3 linked regions of the Arabidopsis thaliana genome follow. The protein of the gene in region 3 interacts with the protein of the main gene of each other region in a pairwise test. Each region holds a gene or a part of one and is shown on either strand. Other genes may lie near its edges.

Region 1 (8,063 bases), on a different chromosome or scaffold from region 3:
GGGGTAGCTACCAAAGACTTCTTCCTAAGTTTTACCTTTAACAATTTCTCAAGTTAATTTGACTTATTTAAAAATATAACCATGTTGCACTAAGAAACATATATACATAAACTTAAATAAACAACCATACCAGTTGCAGTGATGACCGGCTATATAAACCGCTAGTTTGTAATTAACAACACATTCAAAAATAATTTGGTTAGAGAGTCTTAAACGAAACTAAGAGAGCACACAAGTTTCTCAACATGGCCAGTCCTAATTGGCCATCTTTACTTATGGTGGTCTTAGCCTTGTATTCCATGGTTGCGTATACAAGTGCTCAATACTCTCCAACACCAACACCGTATTCACCGCTTCCGCCATATGTTTACAACAGTCCTCCACCATATGTTTATAACTCTCCATCGCCTCCTCCATATGTTTACAAACCCCCTCCATATATCTACAGTTCTCCCCCACCACCTCCTTACGTCTATAGCTCCCCACCACCTCCTCCATATGTTTACAACTCTCCCCCACCACCTCCCTACGTCTATAGCTCCCCTCCACCTCCTCCATATGTTTACAAGTCTCCCCCACCACCTCCCTATGTCTACAGCTCCCCACCACCTCCTCCATATGTTTACAAGTCCCCGCCACCACCTCCTTATGTCTATAGCTCTCCACCACCTCCTCCTTATGTCTATAGTTCCCCACCACCACCACCATATGTTTATAAGTCTCCTCCACCACCTCCTTACGTCTATAGTCCTCCACCACCACCGCCATATGTCTACCAATCTCCTCCACCACCTCCTTACGTATATAGCTCTCCACCTCCTCCTCCTTATGTCTACAAGTCGCCTCCTCCACCACCTTACGTCTACTCTTCTCCACCACCACCTCCATATGTCTACAAATCTCCTCCACCTCCTCCTTATGTCTATAGCTCTCCACCACCTCCTCCATATGTTTACAAGTCTCCGCCACCACCTCCTTACGTCTACAGTTCTCCACCACCACCTCCATATGTCTACAAATCTCCACCACCGCCTCCTTATGTGTACAGCTCACCACCACCACCTCCTTATGTTTACAAATCTCCTCCACCACCTCCCTACGTCTATAGCTCGCCTCCACCACCTCCCTACGTATATAGCTCGCCACCACCACCTCCATATGTTTACAGCTCGCCACCGCCTCCTCCATATGTATATAAGTCTCCTCCACCACCTCCTTATGTCTATACTTCACCACCACCTCCTCCATATGTTTACAAGTCTCCTCCACCACCTCCATACGTCGATAGCTACTCACCACCACCGGCTCCATATGTTTATAAGCCTCCTCCATATGTTTACAAGCCTCCTCCATATGTCTATAACTACTCTCCACCGCCAGCTCCATATGTTTACAAACCTCCCCCATATGTCTATAGCTACTCTCCACCGCCGGCTCCATATGTTTACAAGCCTCCTCCATATGTCTATAGCTACTCTCCACCGCCGGCTCCATATGTTTACAAGCCTCCTCCATATGTCTATAGTTCGCCATCACCACCGCCTTACTATAGCTCTCCCTCTCCACCACTATACTAACCATTTACATACATGATGAAGCGAGACTCAAAGTAAGAGTGTATTTAATAAGTGTATCCACACGGTTTAAAAGCTTTCCCTTTCGAGACGTTGTCATTATAAGAAATGGAATTATGTGTGTACTTAAATATCTATGTGCATTTTCGCTTTGGCTTTTTGCTTTTGATGTTGTTTTTCCTTTGAAAAGACCAATGTTTTGTCTTCCATTTATAACTGTTGAATAAATTCAATATTTTTTAGACGATCGGGTAAATATATTGAACAAACGTTGTAGTAAAGATCATATGGAAGTTTCAAGAGTCAGTAGCTCAACCGTTTATATCTAAGAACATTTAAAGTTAGCGGTATGATGGATTTGAATACCGACTGTAATAAAACTAGTTTAAATTGTTATATATGGCCGAAATTTATATGGAAACTGAAACTTGAAAGCTTTAGTATATCTTAGTTTCTATCTTAATTAGTACATGTATTGTAAAGGTCAATACGAGGATTGATTGATTCATTTCAACAAGAATATAAAGCGAAAATTTCCTAATTATATATTTTAATATATGTATAGACTTAGTCTAGGGGCATGCAATTAACATTTTTGATCCGGCATGGATGGTTCTCAAATTGGTATTCTAAGTTGATCATCCTTAAATGGATATTAAAATATTTTCAAAGTCACGAATTCGAACACCAACGCCAAAATATGACTGAAAAACATTATAAATTTATCATAGCTTAGTTTCCATACAAGACAATAGATCCATAATTTTTGTTTAACTAGAAAATGTTATAAAAAAAAAACAAAGGTATGGGAGAAAAAAAAACACATCCAAAACCACTGTTTAGGTGGGCTTGTCTTCAGGACGGGCACCACAACTCACCAGTTTTGAGAATCACACGACCTAAAATCACACACAAAAATCTAGGAAGAAATGATAAAAGTAAAAGGTGTGGGTTGAATATTCTTAAAATATTTATTTAGGTCTTTAGCAATTGAAAGTCCCAAGGCCAACTAATTATGTCCTCGGCCCTCGTGCTCACCGGACCGTCCAGCAGCTCCCTCCTTCACTTTTGCATAATAGTTTAACAATTTAAGTGGTGTCAAAAAAAAAAACGATTACAGCTTGATATTGGGTTGATAGGTAAATCGTGATAAAACATACAACATTTTTCTAAGCACATATTAAGTTGATCTAATCTAAAATGATTCTTTTACTTTCATAGGAGCTAGCTCGACAATTACACGAGTTGTGCTATCTTTGGATGGGCATGCATGTAAATTACTCTTTTAGAATTCCAAAATTTGGACCTATGACACTACTCACTAGCCAAAAATCTCTAAGAATTGAGATTAATGTCTTCATTTTTTATTTGAGACGTTAATTTCATCGGATTTGTTAGGCTTCTTTTGTATGAAATCCTTAGTTTTGCATTTGACCATTTCTCAAAACACCCTAACATTTTTAATGTTCAGATCATGGCTGTGTTTAATGTTTATGTTTAATGATCATAAGCTCTGTTTTTAATGCAAGCGTGGGTATATGAATTCAGGAACTTTTTTTTTTTCATTCTTCTTAAACTCGTTTTTAACTCTCCATCTCTAAAAAGACCATCAACGCTCTTCTCTTTATTGCAGCAGAAACAGAACCCAGTTCAATAAAGCTTTTTGGTAAGAAAATTTGAAAGGAAAAGATATTTGAAAACTCGTAGAGAGAAAGTGGCACAGAATCTGAAATTCTGACACTTTTTACCACGAATAATGATTCTCTTTTGAAAAACATGACTCAATGTTTTCTTTATCTTTTTCTCTGAATTAAGGTTTGTTTGTACTTAAAGTATGCTCCTTTATCTACCGTTGACTGATTCTACTCTTTTATTCTCAACTTTTCTCTGATTTGCTCGTGTGTTTACTTCAATTCCTCAGTTCTTGTGTAGAAAGTTGAGTTTCATGTGATCAAAATTGGGGCTTTACTACTTTTAAGAGAATGAGTGACAAAGACGAGTTTGCCGCAAAGAAGAAGGATTTGGTCAATACGCCAGTGGATTTGTATCCTCCGGAGAATCCAATGTTGGGTCCTTCTCCGATGATGGATTCATTCAGAGAAACTCTTTGGCATGATGGTGGTTTCAATGTCCACACAGATGCAGACACTTCCTTTAGAGGTAATAATAATATTGATATACCTCTTGAAATGGGTTGGAATATGGCTCAGTTCCCTGCAGATTCAGGATTCATTGAGCGTGCTGCAAAGTTTTCTTTTTTTGGATGTGGTGAAATGATGATGAACCAACAACAATCATCTCTTGGAGTTCCAGATTCAACTGGCTTGTTTCTTCAAGATACACAGATTCCTAGTGGATCCAAACTAGATAATGGTCCTCTTACTGATGCATCTAAGTTAGTGAAAGAGAGATCGATTAATAATGTATCAGAGGATTCTCAATCTAGTGGAGGTAATGGTCATGATGATGCTAAGTGTGGGCAAACATCTTCCAAGGGGTTTAGTAGTAAGAAGAGGAAAAGAATTGGGAAGGTATAGAGATTTGTAGCACTCCTTTTGTATTTTGTGTTTTTTGGTCTTTCGTTGATAATATTTCTGTTGGTAGGATTGTGAAGAAGAAGAAGATAAAAAGCAAAAGGATGAGCAAAGTCCAACTTCAAATGCGAACAAGACAAACAGTGAGAAGCAACCTTCTGATTCTTTAAAGGATGGGTATATTCACATGAGGGCACGAAGAGGCCAGGCTACTAATAGTCACAGTCTTGCTGAAAGAGTAGGAACAATATTTTTTTGAAGTTGAATAGAAAGCAAATTTCTTTTGTTGTTGTATTTGAATTTGGTTAAACTTGTTATCGTAGGTAAGAAGAGAAAAAATCAGTGAAAGGATGAAGTTCTTGCAAGATCTTGTGCCAGGTTGCGACAAGGTAAGTCCTTTTCTTTTTAGATGTTGATGTCTACATGTAGAAGAATGGAAGCTGAAGCTGTTTTCTTTTCATATAAATGGGACATTGCATTTATTGTGTAGGTGACTGGTAAGGCAGTTATGCTCGATGAAATCATTAACTATGTGCAATCACTTCAATGCCAAATCGAGGTTTCCCTTTGTTTGCTTTGGGAATTTCCTATTTTCTTAGTGTCTGTTCTTGAGACTTCATTTAATTAGCAACCTCACTTTGTGTTAGTTACTTCTTCCATGCATTTCAGTTTTTATCGATGAAACTTTCGGCTGTGAATCCTGTGCTCGATTTTAACCTCGAAAGCCTCCTTGCAAAAGATGTAACATATGTTGAAACCCTTCTCTTTCTTATCATTTGACGAGTAACTTCATTGATATGATGTTGATGTCTTCTATATATTCATGCAGGCTCTTCAATCATCTGCACCGACATTTCCCCACAACATGTCGATGCTTTATCCTCCTGTATCGTATCTCTCTCAAACAGGATTCATGCAACCGAACATTTCCTCAATGTCGCTATTGAGTGGAGGATTAAAACGGCAGGTACATATATTTGGTTGCGCATTGTACTCCAACAATAAACATATCTTTGCAGAATCATTTCTTTCTCTTGCATTCATCTAATATTGTTAGTGAGTTTTGAACAGGAAACACATGGATATGAAAGTGATCACCACAATCTTGTCCACATGAACCATGAAACCGGCACTGCACCTGATCATGAAGATACAACAGGTGAAAGTAAAAGCCCTATAAGTTTCATACTTTTGTAACCAGATACTTGAAACTCGCTAAAGCTTTTCATGTTTATCTGATCTTACAGCTGACATGAAGGTGGAGCCGTAGATGTTTCTTCTTCACTTTGTACTCAGCTTTAGCTGCTGATATAGTGCGCCGCGGTCGAGAATTTTATTAACTTCGAACAGAAGAGTGAAAACGAAACAGAGGAGGAAGCAGATTTTGTCTTTGAAATATTGACAGCTCCCGGAGAAAGAGTCGAGAGTAAGAATCAACAATGTTGTGTAATGAATAGCTACTGTCTGCTTCTTTTGTAGCTATTGTCTGCTTCTTTTTTGTACATATAAATCCATGCAAGGGAAGAGGAATGTTAATTCAACACATGTGCACAACATGATCATCACATATGTACTTCAACTTGATCAATCGGAATTAGCTCTACTTGGCAACCAAATCTTCAAACACTAATAATGTCACGAATCCCTCACAATTTGATGAACGATTCAAACAGTGAAGCTAAATGTGGTGTACTCGATAGAAGCAGCCATTGGCATGATATAGAACGATTGACGGGTGATGATATGAAACAACAAAATGAAACAAAGCTCTCTAACTTTTCTTTTCTTTTCTTTTTTCCAAATCTACAAGTTATTTATATCACAAAAGATTTTAAGAAGTTAAAACAAAATGACAAACGAAACAAATGACTAATTTCTCTTCATCTCTCGAGACTCCTCCATACTAAAAGCTGAGAGTAACCAACGAATATTTACACTAAATCCATTCCACTCATATCTTCACCTTTACGCGTTTCCAACAATCCAGTCTAAGCAAAGCCCTTAGAAACACGACTTTACACGATCCTTTTATTCTTCTTCTTCTTCTTCAGTCTTCTCAAAACTGACAAGAAGTCCCCAGCCTCTGCCTCTGCTTCTGTCCTAAAGTTATCGACTTGCGCTTTTCAATGGCTGGATAAAGCAGCTCTTGATATTTCTCCAGGAAAATCGTCCACTCTTCTTCGCTCATATCCGACAGCTTCACAAAGCTTGTGCTTGATGGGATCTGTTCGTCTGCACTTCTGTGAGCAGATGATGCATATGCGCTCTCCACTCTTGCTCCTGGGTGTTTCTGATACTTCTGACTCTTCTCACCAAGAAGAGTGCTTTTGAGAGACATTGAAAGCTTAATCGTCGGCATTTTCTCTAGATCAGCTCTGTCATTCTCTTCCTCCTCTCTGTCTTCTTCTTCTTCTTCTTCCCCATCCTCTGTTGTTTCTTCCACCTTTGACAACTGACCACGAGCATTTCCAAACGTGAGTCCGAGTGGTAATGCTAGTTTTTTCGTACAATCAGTTACTTCCTCACAATCTATATCAAACTGGAATTCAATATCATTTCCCAAGTCTGATCTTGGGGACTCAGCGTCTTTCTCTCCTATCAAACTCATAGCCTCAAGACAAACCACTTCAATCTCACTCGGCTCCTCATCTCCAGGACGAACCTCTCTAGTCATCATCTCACCAATTTCAGCCAAACAAAGGCCATTAGCAGCAGCTTCCTTGAGAAAAATTGTGCAGAGAACTAGAACACGGAGACTGGCCTCTCGTACCATTGGAAGTTCCCTCCGCAGCATCTCACAATCTCCTAAAGGATCCAGATTTGCTATGTACTTCAGCTCATCTTCAGAGAATGGGATCGATGCCTGTGGCCAATGAATCCACTCAAAGTAAGGGTCCTCTAGAGTTTCAGGCAAGCAAAGACCATGATCGATTGGAACTAGCTCCACCTGGCCAAACATACCATCACCATCCAGTTTCTTGACCAAAAGGTTCCCTGAGTGCCTATCTGTATTTAAGATTCTGATGTCAAGAATCCCTATACGGTGTACAGCTGAAACAGGGAAATTTGATGTTCCGTGCTCGCTAGCATCATAATCATGAGGTATGAACTGCTGCAAGGAAGCAATCTTGCTCACCAACATCTTCTCCATAGGCTTGCTTGCCTTCACTCCATCGTTGACATTAAAGATAGAGTGAGTAATCTTCACAAGAGCAGTGGGAGGAACATTTGCAAAATGCTCCTTGTCGAGAAGATAAGCCGCAACTTCTCTGTAGCCTGTTTCCCCAACCCGTACTGAACGCTTCAACCCAGGTTGTCCAAGCGCCTTACCAACAAAACCTTTTGGGTTATTAGGAGCATAAGGCTCCTCATCAGTTGGTTTAACAATTGCAACACTCTCTCCACGGCTGTTCTTAAAGTAATAGGCCCCTCCAAGCCCACTATTAACAGCAACTGGATCAATGCCCTTCTTCACTGCTTTTGTAATATCCTTCGCCATTTGCCTCACGAAAGAGAAAGAAACAGAGTTCCCAAGAATTTCAATAGGACTGCTCTCATCTCTTCTCTGCTGAAGGTCAGCCCTCATTGGGGAAAGACACGGAGTCGATGAGCTCCTATGAAAGTTGTTCCGAGTTAGAAGAAGAGGAGAATCACTTCTAACAGCTGTAAGATCATTTTTAAGCACCAAATCCCCAAAGGTCAACGAGCTTTCCTCAATGGGGAAATTAAGAGCAACCTGCAACTTCCTTTTCACAGTGTGCGCGTTATCACTACGATCCAACTCCAACCCCAGTACACAACCAGTCTCTGTCTGAACAAAAACCCGCCTACGACCCACAGGTGTCTTCATTCCTACCTTGTTAAATTCACGAAATTCCCCATTCAGGGGACTCTTCACTAGTGCCACTGCCATTTGTGTCTTAATAGGACTGTCAAGCTTACGTGACATGAGTGT
Region 2 (8,706 bases), on a different chromosome or scaffold from region 3:
CTATAGAGGCAGATAATGAAAAATATATGTAATTTTTTTTTGGGTTATATACTATTTTATGTTCAGCCAAGAAGGTGAAAAAGGAGCGATTGCTTAAAAATGTTTTCGTGTGGTTACCCGTGATGCAATGTAAAAAGAAAAAAGAAAAAAAAAAGAAGAGAAGAGAAGAACTAATAATTACGTGCACTTTAATTTACTGTAATACTTTATTGGAGTGCCTTGGTTCTTTTTCAATTTTTGTGGTCCATCTTAGCCAAAAGAGGAAATACTTTTATATAATATAAAATATTGTAACGCAAAGTATTGCTTAGTATTCGAAACACATTTTTTCAAATGATTTACGTCCCATTATTTCCCATGCAAACGGAAATATCCTCTAATGATTATTTCAAACACGATTATTACAGTACAGTCGAAATTACTTTCCCGGTTTAATCATATTCTGGCATATCTTATAACATATTTTTTGCAAAGGTATTCGCTTTTGTTTTTGTGACAAATTATTTATTAGGTTTTTAAATTATTACAAATAACTCTCACAGACGTATGTAATCCAACACATAAAATATATGGTTGATAAGAATTCACATCAATTTTGATTAATTTAGGGACTATAAATATGTTATATACAATAATTAATCTATGCATCTTTTTTAATCATTGTGATTGTTCTAGTTATAATAAAATATGGTTGATCACAATTCACAACAATTTTGATTAATTTATGGACTATAAATTTGTTAACATAATTAATCTAGGCATCTTTTTAAATCTTTGTGATTTCTCTAATTATATAATATGAACTGCAGAATTTGATTGTTCTCAATGTATAATCTTACGGGTCATACCATACCATCCATGCTTTGAGTTAGGGATGTCAAAATAGGTCAAAATTCATGGGTCAACTCAACTCAACTCAACCCATGAACCCTAATGAGTTGAAAATTTTGACTCAAATGAGTTGATGAGTCAAATGGGTTAATGAGTCAATTGGTTTGATGAGTAAAATGAGTTGGGTTGTAATGGTTAATGGTTTCAATGGTTTACCCAATTAACCCATCAAATTTTATAAAATTGAATTAAACCAACTAAAATCTCTAAACCAATGCCAATTTAAGTTTAACCAACACATCTAAACAAATTTAATAAAATTAATATTTTTCCAAATTTCTTAAATATACAAGCGATGAAATTGAGAAAAAATAAATTCGTAATTTTTCCACCAAAAAACATAAACCCGTGATTTTCTCGCCAAAAACGTAAACCCGTGATTTTCCCGCCAAAAACGTAAACCCTTAATTTTCCCGCCAAAAACGTAAACCCGTAATTTTCCCACCAAAAACGTAAACCCGTGATTTTCCCGCCAAAAATGTAAACCCGTGATTTTCCCGCCAAAAACGTAAACCCGTGATTTTCCCGCCAAAAACGTAAACCCGAGATTTTCCCGCCAAAAACGTAAATCCGTTATTTTTTCGCCCAAAACGTAAACCCATGATTTTTCCGTCAAAAACGTAAATCCGTGATTTTCCCGCCAAAAACGTAAATCCGAGATTTTTTCGCCGAAAAGCTTAAACCCGAAATTTTCCAGCCAAAAACGTAAACCCATCATTTTCCGGCCAAAAACGTAAAAAACTATAATTTTCCTGTCAAAACGTAAATCCGTGATTTTCCGTACCTAAAACGTAAACCTGTAAAAAATAAAATCCGTAAATATCTTAAGTTTGATGATAATGAATTAATAATGATAATTATTTATTATTGTTTTATAATAATAATTAATTAAATTATTACTTAAATGGGTTAACATCTCAAACCATTAAATTAAATGAGTTATAGGTTGACCCAACACATTTAACAAAATGAGTTGGGTCAACCCATAACTCATTTATTCTTAAACTCATTTGATTATAAGTTGAGTAGAGTTGGGTTATCCATTTTGATATCCCTACTTTTAGTACTATAGCTACAAGCCTACAACTATGGAGATTAGTGTGAATGTATGATTGTCGAATAAAAATAGAGTGACTAAATATTTTAAGCGTAAAAAGGTATTTATTCCAGCAAAAGAAAAGAAGAAAAACGACAAAAAGAAGACTTAAAAGTTGTAGAAATGTCAGTACGTATGTGAAAGACTGAGACACAGAACACTTTGTACAAGAACCAGTTCCAGTGTCACCGGTTACAGCCGGTCGCCTTCTCTTGATTCCCCAAAGCCTCTCCCACCAAACCCGGGACTTTTCACTTTTCATCAGTATTTTTTTTTGTTAAAGATTTTCATCAGTATTTTATATATATATATATATTATAAAGATCGAATTTGTTTGCATGATGAGGAAAGTATATCGAGTTACTATGTATCCATCGTTTGAAATACCCGTTTTAAAAAAAAATAATGAGATTTATTTTTAGGACTTCAGTATATATACGATTAACTTTTAACAGTTGTGTGACTAAAACGAAATGTAACAAAAATAAGAGAAAACTACAAAACAGGTAGTGAAAAATGACAAAAAAATTGTAGGACGCTAAGACGAAAAAATGATTCAAGAAAGAATATGTCTTTTCAATTTCAGTTTTACGAAATCGTGTAATAACGTAAATACTAAATCACGATTTCACAGAACCATATAAAATACTAAAATCCCACGCAATCATTAAACTTAATTCACCATTCTACGGATGACCTATGAGAGAGCATTGAATTGGCTTTAGTAACAAACACCAAAAAGATGAATCTTGACCAAATTTGTAATGCTCATACTAAATTCCTCCAAGTCTTATAAACATTAGATATTTTATATTTTAGGTTTTCAAAATATGTCATATAAAGAAAAATTTGATATACATATTGATCGTGCTTCAAAAAGACACCAAAAGAGCTTCTCTCTCTCTTAACCTCTCGTTTCGCCATTATCTCTTACACTGTTACTCTCTCTCTCTCTTCTTCTTCTTCTTCTTCTTCTGCATCTCATCGACATCATCCTTTCCCATGGCTGATGCATACGAGCCTTATCATGTTCTTCAACAAAGCCGGCGAGACAAACTTCGTATTCCATCTCTCGATTCCCACTTCCACTTTCACCCTCCTCCTCCTCCTTCCTCCGGCGGCGGAGGTGGCGTCTTTCCTCTCGCTGATTCCGATTTCCTCGCAGCCGGTGGCTTTCACTCCAACAACAACAACAACCACATATCTAACCCTAGCTACAGTAATTTCATGGGATTTCTCGGTGGCCCTTCTTCTTCTTCATCCACCGCAGTCGCCGTCGCCGGAGATCATTCCTTTAACGCCGGACTTTCTTCCGGAGACGTTCTTGTCTTCAAACCCGAGCCTCTATCTCTATCTTTGTCCTCTCACCCTAGACTCGCTTACGATCTAGTCGTTCCCGGTGTTGTTAACTCCGGATTCTGTAGATCTGCCGGTGAAGCCAACGCCGCCGCCGTCACCATCGCGTCTAGAAGCTCTGGTCCTCTCGGACCTTTCACGGGCTACGCGTCGATTCTTAAAGGATCAAGGTTCTTGAAACCAGCACAGATGCTTCTTGATGAGTTTTGTAATGTGGGTCGTGGGATTTACACCGACAAAGTCATCGACGACGATGATTCTTCTCTGCTTTTTGATCCGACGGTTGAGAATCTCTGCGGTGTTTCTGATGGCGGCGGAGGAGATAATGGAAAGAAAAAATCAAAACTCATCTCCATGCTCGACGAGGTATACAATAACATGATCAATTCTAATCTCTTTAAATTATTGAAATCTGTAAATTTTCTTTAATTATTGTCTATACTTTCTTACAAGTATGTGAATTATTGTGTTAAATGTTCACAGTTTTTGGTCGGTGTCCTTTGGAATTGGAGACAAAATGTGTTAAATGATATGTCTCTTAAAAAGATCTTCCTTGGAAAATGAAACTCCTTCAAAGCCATTTTAAAATTATATGATATTTTATTTAATTCATTATAATACCATATGTTAATTAAATTAATGTTCCCTACGTTTTGCATGAATAGATGATGTTATAGCGTCCATTTTAATACATTATATAAATTACAAGCTTGCCATCTTCATGCTGATTTTTAATAGAATTTTAAGGTTATACTAAAGTAAGGATAATATTATCTTGAGGAAGTAACTTTATATAGAGCTTCCTTAGCTCTTGATCTGAATTTGTGAATTAGATTCTTCAAATCTTAGGGGTATAAACATTAAGTGATAAAAAGAGAACGTCTTCTTTATGAAAGGAATATATGCATTATATGATCTTAAAGCTAGGGACTTAAAGATTTTAATTAGTTTATTCCGAGGTATATAACATACTTTTTGAGTGAGGAAATAATGTATAAATTTATAATCACCCATTTTATTATGTAAGTGGGGGAATCTAAAAACATTTCCATGTGACGTTTTGAAGGTTTACAAGAGGTATAAGCAATACTATGAGCAGCTACAAGCTGTGATGGGATCATTCGAATGCGTTGCAGGTCTCGGGCACGCTGCTCCGTACGCTAACTTAGCCTTGAAAGCATTGTCTAAGCATTTCAAGTGTTTGAAGAATGCTATAACGGACCAGCTTCAATTCAGCCACAACAACAAGATCCAACAACAACAACAATGTGGTCATCCGATGAACTCTGAGAATAAGACTGATTCTTTAAGATTTGGAGGAAGTGATAGTTCTAGAGGCTTATGTTCTGCTGGTCAAAGACATGGATTTCCTGATCATCATGCTCCTGTTTGGAGACCGCACCGTGGCCTACCCGAACGTGCTGTTACTGTTCTAAGGGCTTGGCTCTTCGATCATTTCTTGCATCCGTAAGTAACCCTTCTCGCCATATAAATGCTTTTGAAAGTTGTTGGATTCGAGTTTGAACTTGGTTCCAACAATTGATTAAACTAAATGCAAACGTTTAATTGATCATGAACCAAATTGTATATATATGCTTGTGAACAATAGCTTTATATGTGTGTGTCAGTGTGAATAAATATGTGTGTATCGAAGTGTATTTTTACTTGGAAGTATGTTTTAGATGGGACATGTCGACTGCTTGTTTGTTTCCCAAACTTGGAGATGTCGTGTTGCAAGCGTAATTATGTGTCTATATATATGTGTATGTTAGTATATACAATGATATATTAAATTGTTGTTGTCTGTGTCTTTTGTTGCAGTTATCCAACAGATACAGACAAACTCATGCTGGCTAAGCAGACAGGTCTCTCCAGAAATCAGGTTTCACTTCTGATATCTTCAGTCTTCTTCTTTTTTCTCTTTCCATCTTTTCTTGTTCACAATTTAACAAATTTCTTGCTAATTAAGCATGCACATAGTCACATAGATAAATATATGCTTTTATGAAATGAGTTTCTGTTGTCGGACAATAATTATATGTTTTAAATCTTTTCACATATATCATTAGTATAGTAACTATGTTATAATTTGGTTTATTAGGTTTGAATAAGTGTTACACTTTTGTTTTTGAAAATTTATCCGTTGGTGATAATGAATAATTTAGGGATTTTCTATCGCTTGAGGGTTATTAATTTATTATGGTAAAATGTTATTTTAGGTATCGAATTGGTTCATAAACGCAAGAGTTAGGGTTTGGAAGCCGATGGTGGAAGAGATTCACATGCTGGAGACTCGACAATCTCAGAGATCTTCTTCTTCCTCTTGGAGAGACGAACGTACTAGCACCACCGTCTTCCCTGACAACAGCAACAACAACCCATCTTCGTCCTCGGCACAGCAAAGACCTAACAACTCATCTCCGCCTAGACGGGCACGAAACGACGACGTTCATGGCACAAACAACAACAACAGCTATGTAAACAGTGGGAGCGGCGGCGGTAGTGCGGTTGGTTTCTCGTATGGAATTGGGTCGTCGAATGTGCCGGTGATGAATAGCAGCACAAACGGAGGAGTGTCTTTGACGTTAGGGCTTCATCATCAGATTGGGTTACCGGAGCCTTTTCCGATGACAACTGCTCAGAGGTTTGGGCTTGATGGTGGTAGTGGCGATGGTGGTGGTGGGTATGAAGGGCAAAATCGTCAGTTTGGGAGAGATTTTATTGGTGGTAGTAATCATCAGTTTCTACATGATTTTGTAGGTTGAGATTATTTGTGTGGAAAGGAAAAAATATGTTTGACGTTTGGGTATGTATAAGAAGATATGGGGGAATTGAAATGCATATGATGTGTATATTAGAATGTTTCTTCTTCTTTTTTTGTTGTTTGCTTACTTTCACAAATGTTATCTTTTTAAGAAATGAAATTGGATTCAATAACCAATGTTAAAAACATGGGTTAGACTTTAGAGTTGTCTATGTCTTGGTGAAATATAAAAGGCATCTATCATTGTTTTAATATTTTGGCATGATTCAAAACATGGTGCTTTTTTTTTTTTTATGTATGTCACAATTATCGTTGAAGAACGCGATTAAGATGTTTATCATTGATCGTTGATATTATATTTTGAACTATCTTGTTTTACTTGATAGTAAACATTGACTAAACAACATGTTTTCAAACCCTAAACCTTGAAATATTTCAGACTATTTGAGTTATCTTTTTGAGTCGGATGCAGTTTTGACTCCGATCCGCTCAACATTGTTGAATTCTTCTACTCATAAAAGAAGTTTGAGCCGATTTCAAACACACAAAACAAATGAGTTCGGTTTAATGTTCAGTGTGTACTAATACGTTGGCTTTTGAAGATCACATGAGAGCAAAAGTATTGAAAATAAAATTGTGCTTTTGTTGCTTCAAATAACTTTCCATTTGCTTTTGGAAAACAAGAAAGATATATATATATATATATATATATATATATACATAACCTTTCCCTCTCATGGGAAAAAAGTAAATCTTTTTCTTTGTAGAATTTATTCTCCGATCCTAACCATTTCTCAGCCTTTTTGTTTGTTTACACCATTTTTGTTTATATTCTTGGATTATGTCTATATAGAATAAGATGTAAACATAAACTGTATTAGCAAATATGTTTTGAATTATATGAAATTCAATAATTGAGAAGAGGTTCATGTAATGAGCCGAGAGAAGAATATAAAAGCAGTCAAATAATTTTTTCAAAAAACTATTTGTATATTAAAAAGGTACAAAGTAAAAAATAAATTTAAGAAGGTGCCATCATTGGCTCCTAAAGAACAAACTACAAAGAATCAATTTCTCATGATTTGATCTCTCACAATCCGTCTCCTTTATGTGGATGCGGAAAAACACTCTCCACACGTTTCATGTAAAAATTTTAGTTAAATTTCTAAAAACAATAGAGATACTATTCGATTTGTTCTTGAATTATTCATGAATACATATAGTGGCAACCTTAGACACTAGCCACGTCAACCGTACATGTTATATCATATATTTTTATATTGGTCTATCTATATGCTGAACTAGAGTCTAGAGATAAATATGAGAACATATAAGAAACCATGGACAACTAAAGATATTGTCTTTCTGTGTGAGTATTTGTTCCAGAAGCATTAAACCTTCGGAATAAGTATAATTCTTTTGCACCATTACTATTTTTATAAGCTTCACCAGCTCTATATATATTCTCACCATTAACATAAAACAACAACAACACGAAGAAGAAGATGAAGGTACTTGATGATGAACGGGTAATCTGCATCCTGAGGTTTAAAACCAATTAAGCATATACATATGCGAATGTATAGTTTTTAATCCTCGGGATACAGTTTACCTCTTCCTTACTCAAGAAAACACTTAGCTTTAACGGTTTTGGAGAAAGAAGAAGCATCGAATTAAATCCATTTGAAACAGGTTAGTTATCTTAGTGAAGAATATATCCATCAATCATAATTTGGTCTAGTCATTCGAAGTGGGATATGATTTGATACATATAGTCTAAAATATGATTTTATGCCAGTAATATTTTGTTTTCCCTGTCCCCTACCTATATCTAGAGCTTGAGATCCTCCTTTTAAAACTTTTAGATGATTAATCGTTTTACAAATCATAGTCCCAGACTTTCGTTCCAATCTAGATCGGTTTAGATGCGTTTTGTTTTGGAATTTATACAACGAAAACCAAAGTTTAGATTAAAAGATTCGAAAACCGGATTACATAAAATCTGGTCCAGGACCCCTTTGGTTAACGAAAACCAGACTAAAGGGCAGAAACGTCATTTGACAAAAAGAAGGATGATTCTCTCCTTCCTCTTTCCCCAATGCAAAGAAAAAGCATTATAGACTTTTCAAGTTTTCCGATATAAGCACGAAATCGCTGTTTCTCTCTTCGACGAAGCTTTGATAATTTGATCTCAATCGATCGATTCTATTGAGAATTTGTGTACCTGTTTTCTTATAAGGTTAACTAAGGATTGTGGAATCAGAAGTGTTGTGTTTTTGTGATCGGAGATTATGGATTGGGGAAACGTAACGGTTGATGATCTCTTCGATGCTCTCCGAGAAGTTGACTGGTCGTCTCCGCCGCGTCCTCCGTCTGAGTTCTTCTCAAGGTTCACCGTTCCTAAATCTGTCCCTAAATGGGATAGTCGCCTCAAGTGCAATCTCTACTAGTACGATCTCTCTCTCTCTTTCTTGTTCGCCAATTTCATATCTATTCGGATCTGATGTTGTGATCAATCTCTCGTTGAGAATTACCAATCAAATTCGTCCCAATTGAACATAGAATTCTTAGACTTTGGTTAGAACACAGAGTCTTGATA
Region 3 (7,933 bases):
AGAGCTTCTACAATGGAAACATAACATGCATATTAAATAACATCAAGACGATGAAGGCAACTGTATTTCTCCAAGTAAAGGAAAATAAAACTTTAATTTTTCCAATTTCAATGGACAGAAATTTTGAAAATTTAGCTGCATTAAATCTACATAAATCATGCTAGTAACTATAGATACTTTTCCGGAGGAAGTTAAGAAGTGAAAACTCACAGAATACTCTGACGAGAAGACTGCAGACAGTAAATGGAGTGCTTCAAACTTCAGGGCATTATGCAACACCGCAAACTGCCGTGCAACAGCAGCAATCTGAATAAAAGTTAACATTATGTTTGGAGTCCAACTTCAGCATTGCAGCTTTAGTAAGTATTGCGAAAAGAAAACAAAAAGTAACCAAGTAAGTAGACTCACCACCAAAGACAGTTCTAAGAAGCGTTCAATAGTCATGCTCCCACAATCAAGCTTACTAACCAATAACTGCAGAATCTTTATAGCAACCTCCATGGCATGTGAACCTGAATAACATGTCTCACATTAGCTCCCAGTGAAAAACTATTATCAAATCCATCTACCTCAACATGGCACGTTTTCTTTGACACCAAATATAATCAATCCGAAATAGCATTCAATGGAATCTAATGTGCATCATATACACAACAAAAGAATGTAAACCCAATGAAAGAGTATGTATTACCATCAGGTAACTCAGACATCTGGGGAGCTATCACTCTCAAGCCTCCAGAGTTAATCAAAGTCATGAGACCAGCTTCACAAGCCGTGGACACCAAATACAGAAGCTCATAGCAATCTTCGAGCATGTTTGTAGTTATTCTGAAATTCCAAAAGCCAATTTCCTAACTTTAGGCAATCACAATATGCAAAAAGTTGAAGACACAGAAGCAAAGCTTGATTAAAAAAAAAACTTCATGGAAAGTCGCAAATGCAAGAATCAGGTGATCTAACATACCCTTTGGACATTACTTCGAGAATAAGGGGAATTCTGGAGACCATCTCTTCTGAAGAAGCTATCTCCGGAACACGGCAGAATGCAGCAAGAACAGTGATAGATATCTGCAGATACACATCACGATTATCAACCCCATCGCCACTGCCACTACCTGCAAAACAAAAAATCGAAACCAGTCAGAGCAACAAACTTTAGTATCTCAACTAAAAAATTCACACTTTGTAGAAACCCCAAAATTGATATTAGTATTTACTGAGACAAAGATCAATAATTCGGGGTTTTGATTACCAGTACGGAAAAGACGGTCGAGAAAGTGAGTACCAACGGCTTCGTAGACCTTGTTGAGAGAAACGATGTCATCGTTCTTACAGAATTTGGTGACGAGAAGTAGACCGGCGAGCCTCTGCTCGTCTCTCTCCCCTTTCAATAGCTTAAGGCAATCGTCAAGCGACGGAGATCGTTCCTCCTGTGGTGCTGCTGCCATAATCACCCAACTCAAAGAGTAACAAAAGTAGACCAAGTCGAGAGAAAGGTAAGCAAAAAAAACTAAAACAAAAGCCGTTCGTTGGAGAAGCTGAAGGAAGAAGAAACAAGTCATTAAGTCGGCATTCAGATTTTGGGCCAAATACCAATGGGCTTTGTTAATAATACAAGTGAAATCATTTAAAATTATCGATATATTAAAAATTGAACCATATAAAAACCGAGCCGAACGTAACCATGCATCAACCGGTGAGAGAAATCAGACGAACACAACAACATCGTAATACTACATTTCAAGCTAGTTTAATTATGATAAATATTGCTTGATACATTCATTACAAACGAACATATTGACACTTTACAAGAAAAAACCCACACTTGCTTAAGCGTTCGTTACAAGACGCAAACCAACGAAACAGATCACTTCCAAAAACTACTAAGTCGTTACAAACAACAATTTGGACTCCAGAATCCGGTTTCATAGGCTAACCGGTATCCACTATACAAATAACACACTCTGTACGAGCATAGAACCGGATTCGTTTCTTTCATATACGGTTCCCAAGAATTCACATGGCAAAGAACCATCCTCTAGTTAGCCGCTATGTCACCTACGACTTCCCGGTCCTGAGTTTGGTTACAAAAGAAGATCTTGACCGGGTTGGTTTAATGAAATTGCGCAATTTGAAAAAGAGAACGGATCTTGTTTTACCGTTTACGTTTGTTCTTGGTGAGAGTAGATGACGTGGAAGAGTTGCTGTTCCAGTTTCTTTTCCTCTGGTTGATGAACCAATTGTTGATCTGTTTCAACTGCAAACCGGTTTCTTGAACCAGTTTTGCCTTATCTTCCTCCTGCAATTCCAAAACCAAATCACGAATTAAAACCTTGCTTTTGACAATGTGGTAACAAAACTTCTCGGCCAAGGTGTTTACAGTTGGGTATGGCCATTTCGAGTGAGTTCGCCACCATTCTTTGAGTACAGAAGTCGTATCTCCTGGCAACTTTCCCGCCCTTCTCTTCCTCATTATCTCTTCTCTTATGTCCACAATCTTCTCTTTGAAACCCTACAGGGGAAAAAAGAAACCGAGCAACATGATTTAACAATGTGTTTTGTATAGTTTGATGTACCATTGCAGCTTGATCAAGCAATTACCTGTTTAAGCTCATGCTTCAGTTCTTTCTTCACACGTTCCATCAAAGATCTCTCTCTCTCGGTTGGAACAAGAGGACCAAACCCCATCAAGCAATCTGAACCGTCCAAACTTCCATCAAACATGTTCACCTCGCTCTCTACTTGATTATCATCTTCATCATCCGACATTGTCTTACCATTACTTTCACTTGGAGAAACTCCTACAAACCAGAACAAAGAAAAACCGATAAAACCAAGACACACATAAAGCAAGAAGACAATAACAAAAAAAAAAAATGATTTGGGACGTTACCAGTTAGGGATTGCAGTGATTGTTCAATCTCCCAACAAGCCGTAATGGCTTCCATTGCATGGACACAAACGTGGTGTTGGAGTTGTTCTTTAAATGAACATAACAAGACAACATAATGTGACTGCATCAACATAATAATCAAAGGTAAGATTCCAATCCATAAGACATACAAACAGAACGTTACAAAAAATAGATTATGCTTTCTTTCTCTTGGACATGCAAAGTCCTTTTCAGCAAGAATCAGACAAACTATTAGTCATCAAAGAAGAAGCTTTATGCAACAAATATAACTTATTTGAGTCAGACAAAGTTCATAATTCGAATTACAAGCTAACCAAAAAAGTAGAAGCAAAGATCATATCGATTGCAAGACTCGAGAAGCGGGAACAATGAGCCACACAAAAATGTGAATTTGCTATACTCAGATAATCAAAGAGAAATAAATGGCTGAATCGTTCACAGTTCAAAACATTAAAATTTTGCAAAATTAGAAAGTGAAACTTACCATGAAATGATCAAGTTCCTTGTTGTCAACAACCACACCAAGAGTGGAGTATTTCGCGGCGACGGTATGCAACTGACTGAGCTGAGCATCGATCCTCGGAATCTGGTCAACGGGAGTCGCAACCCTAAGGCAAGCCACGTGAGCCGCAAGAAGCTGCTCGTACATCGGATGTCTTAAAATCGCCGCCTTATAGCTAGCACTCCGCCAATCTTCACCTCCTACAACGCCGAGTATCGTTTCACCATCGGCGTTGACTCCGTCGATAACTTCAGAACGTACTTCTCCAGTATTTTGCATCTCCGAATGAAAGGAGAGCCAGCGTGGGTTTGTATCAGCAACGGAATTGTCTCCGTTGCGGTGCGGAGGAGCGAGATCGGAATCCGCAGTGGTAAGGGTGGTAGGGAGGTTGAGGAAACTGGCGGTGACAAGCGAAGGTGTTTCAGAGAAGTGACGCTGCGGCGGAGGTTGCTGTGATTGATCGGTGAAGTGTCGGAGAGGAAGGTCTTCTTGTGGAGGAAGGAGGTGGGAGCTGTTAAACGACATTGTTTTCCTGCGTTTTTGGGATCGGAGAAGAGAAGACTGTTTTCTCTTTCCCCTAGTTATTTATCTCTCTGAAGACCAATATTTTTTAATTAATCTTGAATTTTATATTTATATATATTTTTTTTTTTTTTGGACTCTACTTCAATCTCTTTGTTTTAATGTCAACATAAAGCCTGTAACCAAAATGAAGCATAAAATAACTCAACCTACAAGAGCCTGTAATTCTGTAATTCACAAGTTTTGTGAGCAATGATTTGCTTACAAAACTTCTGTTCTAGAGTGTAATTTTCTTCTTTAGGTCTTTATTCTCCAAATTATGATAAGTATATTTACCATTAAACTCATTGTAGATATTTTTAAAACCCAGATATTTTTTTCTTTTTTACATGAAGGAATGTCATTTTTTTTTAATCTCTATACACAAAAGACTTGGGATCCATGAAAAAGAAAATAAGCTCATAAACAAGTTGGCAATTTTTTCTCAAATTTATTGGGCATTTAAAAACGAATCTTTTTCCATGAACACGCCGACAACCCACCAATAGCATTACACCTCCCAAGTTTATATTATAAAAATTCAAATTAAATAGTAGAAAAATGAATGTCCAAAGAGATTGATAGATCTTCTTGTCTTGGATTAGTTGAGCGGAAACTAGGGTTTTAATATAATAATGTATGGAGAATAGTGAAGAAGAAAATGTTTGGAACATAAAAAGTCTATTAGTTGTCCTACTTTTTCCTCTTTACAATTTCCAACAAAAGCTTTTAAATCGGTACAAAGAGAAAGAAAGAAAAAAAAAAGTAGTTAATTTTGCATTAAAAATTGATAACACCATCTATTTAAAACAAATTTTTTCTTCTAACACATCAAATTAAAGAAAACAGAGAGGGAGGGAGGGAGGGAGTAAAAAGTAAAAACCTAATTTTCACCCTCTTCCTAAGAAAAAATCAAGAAGTAATTGAGCATTTTACCCCAAAAAAAGAAGGAAACGGAAAACCAGAATGTGACGGGAGAGTTTCATTACACCACTTATTACATTCACTTTTCTTAGTTGACATCTCTAGCTCCCTTCTTCCCTTCACTATAATTCGATCGCAAATCTTCATATAGGCCAGTTTTTAGCTAGTTCCGTACAATATCTCTTCCTCGGATGGCGCCATGTTGAGATCAGGGAGGACGAAGAAACTCCCCTGATTTTGCGAGTCACTGGTTTTGCAAGATTTTGATCCCTGTAGCCGCTCGAGTTGTGATTTACGAATCAAATCAACAGGTTTCTTGTTTGTGACACGGCCTGAGTTTAAGTCAAGCTGAAACAAGAAAACACAAGAGTCGATGAGACCAGCAAATAGAGAGAAGGGATCTGGAATATCTGATTACTGTAAAGATGGTTAGGGAGAATCTAAATGTTACCTTAATCCTCTTCAGCTTTTGGTTCCTAAGGTTTTGTTCATCGAATGTTGCTCGGAGACTTGCAATCTCCTGTGGAAAAATATTGGGTTTTTTTAAGAATACAATGAAAACCATGATAATAAAACAGAGAATAGCAACGAAAATCTACCTTTTCAAGGTCAAGTCTCTCCTTCAACTTCAAGTTCTCTTCATTTTTAAGCTCAAAAGATGACTGCCAAATATTAAAAGAATAAAAAACCATCAGCTCAATAAAATTTGAATTTTGGAGTGTGTACTTGAAATTCAAAAAGGAGACTTTATATTTACCTTCCTCTTCTTCAATCTCTTGGAGAAACAACTGGTGATTTCGTTTGTGGGAAAAACCTGCAAAACAAAAACGCATTTGATTAGTCAACTATTAAATGGCTGAAGATAACGACAACTGTTTTACTTTTATAATCAATACCCAAGATCTTATTTTAACATACCGGTAAAAAGTTTCTTTTCCCACAACAGAAATTTCAAACAAGTAAGAAAAATATATCGAAGAAACCAAATAGAGCATAAAATTAAAAAATCTCAAATATATAATTGGGAAAGAATTTTTATAGTGAGGATTTGATGCCACATCATGATTATTCCGTGTCATGGGCATTGTCATCTATCGTCATCACTCTTTTAAAGATCACGTGATACCAATCTCTCCGACAAGATCATTTTACTCGTTTCAACTTTCAACCCACAAAACGCTACCGTCTCGAGCATCAAAACGTTCAATAAAACGCGGACGCGTTTGACCAACTAGCTGTTAAGCTGTACTACCCCCAAAATCTAAAAGGAGCTTTAATTATTCCTCAAGACAAAATTAAAGTTGACCGATTTCTAAAAATCCACATCTAACCGGCCACGCAAGATCCGGTTCAATGCGTACCGAGAAAAACAGGTCTCTTATTAAGCTTTGTTACAGAAGATTAGTAGAGTTTTCTAATTACAAAAAATGAGCAGAAAACAAGGAAATTAAGCTTAAAGTGGCTTTGACTTTTTGGAGATTAGATGAATTTAACCTAGAAGCAGGATGGCTCCGGCCGACGGTGTCATCGGCGAATCACGGCGGAGGAATTTTTTCCGGTGAATTTGTTAGAAGTTGAAGAAAACAGACTAAATACGTTCTAGTGAGAATTGAAGCGTGCGAGAGATGACGTCAGGCTAAACTTTATGGATTTTAGGAAAAAAAATGAAGAAAAACAGAGAGACGGCCAAGGATCTTCTCAATTACGAACGGCTAAATCCAGATTTATCGGCCAGATCGGAATCGGATTATCCAGCGAGATGACGGATTTGCCATCTCTCCGGAGCTACCGGATTCGTAATTGAGAGAAAGAAGATAGAGAGAGAAGACTAAATCGAGAGGCAAAAGTTGAAAATCACGATAGGGAAAAGAGAAAGTTACCTTAGATCCAGATCCTGTAGATGTAGAGCAGCTAGCTTGGCGACTGTTATCCTCGAATCCATCGGCGGAAGGAGAAGCAGAGCCGCCACCACTTCCAGATCCGCCGCTCCACGAGAGAGGAGTCTTCGGACTGGCTCTAACGGAATCGACATCTTTCTTCAAGGAAACGAGAACGCCGCCGCCGCCACCAAATCTTGAGGAACGAGACCGTCGTTGACGGATTCCCCACCGCAACGGAGGGAGAATCACCGCCGGATTATCCGACACTACCGTTCCGGCATGCTTCAGCCGTAAAAGAAGCTCAACGACCAAATCGTCGTCAGTTATCGCTACAGCCACCCAATCATCCTTGGCCGGAATCTTAGACGATGTAACCTTCTTCATCGACGCTTACACTACTCAAATCTACAGCTCCCGTAAAAAAGGGAATCAGATACAGAAGAGAAGCAGCGAAAGAGAGAGAGGGAAAGAAAGAGAAGTTACAGAAGAGAGATAATGACGAAGGGAGAGAGAAGGAGAAGAAGAAGAAATATCGAAATAGAGGAGAAAGAGAGAGAGAGAGATGGGAATGGTGTTATATACGAGGCTCCCTCTAAATTATTCCTCTATCTCTTTTTTCTTCCTTTTCTCATTTTTCTTTGTTCTTTTCGAAAAGAAAAAAAAAATGATTTATTTTATTGCCATTTTAATGTCGATGCGAAAATGCAAGATCGGGTCTGTGGCTGGATGGATTGCAGATTTGGATTTAATTTTTTTATCTCAATGGTTTGTTTGTGATGACAAAAAAAATAAGAAAGGAAAGGTGGGACCCAAAAACTGAGTTGTGTGGGGAAAGGGTATGTGAAAAATATGTAAAGATTCCCCAAATTAAAATTCTCTCGCAAAATTATAAATTTGGCATAATGCTGAAATTAAAAGAATAAATTTTTAAAAATAGGCAAAATTACTTTAGGGTTCGTCTTTTTCGTTTTGCTTTTTTTTCCCTTGTTAGGTAGAAAATCTTCCTATGCTCTCATCAATTATGATGTTCGTAGAGTATTGCAAAGGAACCAACAAAAAAAAACTGACGTGGCTCAATGGTTTTGCTAAGCTTGACCAATGAACAATTGACGACTGTGTACCGCCGTTAATAGGTAAAGGCAAGTTGCTACA

Evidence for each region.
Region 1: the proteins of KNAT5 (region 3) and CIB5 interact in a two-hybrid assay, tested with the Arabidopsis thaliana proteins (one large-scale study listed by BioGRID).
Region 2: the proteins of KNAT5 (region 3) and RPL interact in a two-hybrid assay, tested with the Arabidopsis thaliana proteins (one large-scale study listed by BioGRID).

What each region holds. Positions count from the first base shown.
Region 1 is NC_003070.9:9,083,658-9,091,720, forward strand, and holds CIB5 (cryptochrome-interacting basic-helix-loop-helix 5), read left to right. Parts: upstream 1-3,146; 5' UTR 3,147-3,556; coding exon 3,557-4,105; intron 4,106-4,178; coding exon 4,179-4,346; intron 4,347-4,431; coding exon 4,432-4,497; intron 4,498-4,598; coding exon 4,599-4,667; intron 4,668-4,777; coding exon 4,778-4,849; intron 4,850-4,937; coding exon 4,938-5,075; intron 5,076-5,179; coding exon 5,180-5,267; coding exon of another isoform or gene 5,268-5,305; exon of another isoform or gene 5,306-5,355; coding exon 5,356-5,378; 3' UTR 5,379-5,718; downstream 5,719-8,063. Other genes in the region: AT1G26250 (Proline-rich extensin-like family protein), read left to right, coding at 246-1,577; AT1G26255 (uncharacterized protein), read right to left, coding at 274-492, 667-819, 877-1,409, 1,464-1,581; AT1G26270 (Phosphatidylinositol 3- and 4-kinase family protein), read right to left, coding at 6,165-8,057. UniProt on the Arabidopsis thaliana protein: Transcriptional activator involved in cell elongation. Regulates the expression of a subset of genes involved in cell expansion by binding to the G-box motif.
Region 2 is NC_003076.8:392,765-401,470, forward strand, and holds RPL (POX (plant homeobox) family protein), read left to right. Parts: upstream 1-2,802; 5' UTR 2,803-2,989; coding exon 2,990-3,709; intron 3,710-4,409; coding exon 4,410-4,810; intron 4,811-5,164; coding exon 5,165-5,225; intron 5,226-5,562; coding exon 5,563-6,108; 3' UTR 6,109-6,361; downstream 6,362-8,706. Other genes in the region: PRA1.A1 (prenylated RAB acceptor 1.A1), read left to right, coding at 8,399-8,556.
Region 3 is NC_003075.7:15,490,135-15,498,067, reverse strand, and holds KNAT5 (homeobox protein knotted-1-like 5), read right to left. Parts: upstream 4,080-7,933; 5' UTR 3,942-4,079; coding exon 3,399-3,941; intron 3,015-3,398; coding exon 2,894-3,014; intron 2,802-2,893; coding exon 2,602-2,801; intron 2,513-2,601; coding exon 2,381-2,512; intron 2,300-2,380; coding exon 2,160-2,299; coding exon of another isoform or gene 2,156-2,159; exon of another isoform or gene 2,075-2,155; coding exon 2,059-2,074; 3' UTR 1,687-2,058; downstream 1-1,686. Other genes in the region: AT4G32050 (neurochondrin family protein), read right to left, coding at 211-306, 409-512, 692-828, 965-1,115, 1,253-1,448; AT4G32030 (uncharacterized protein), read right to left, coding at 5,061-5,249, 5,353-5,421, 5,501-5,563, 5,659-5,715, 6,782-7,165.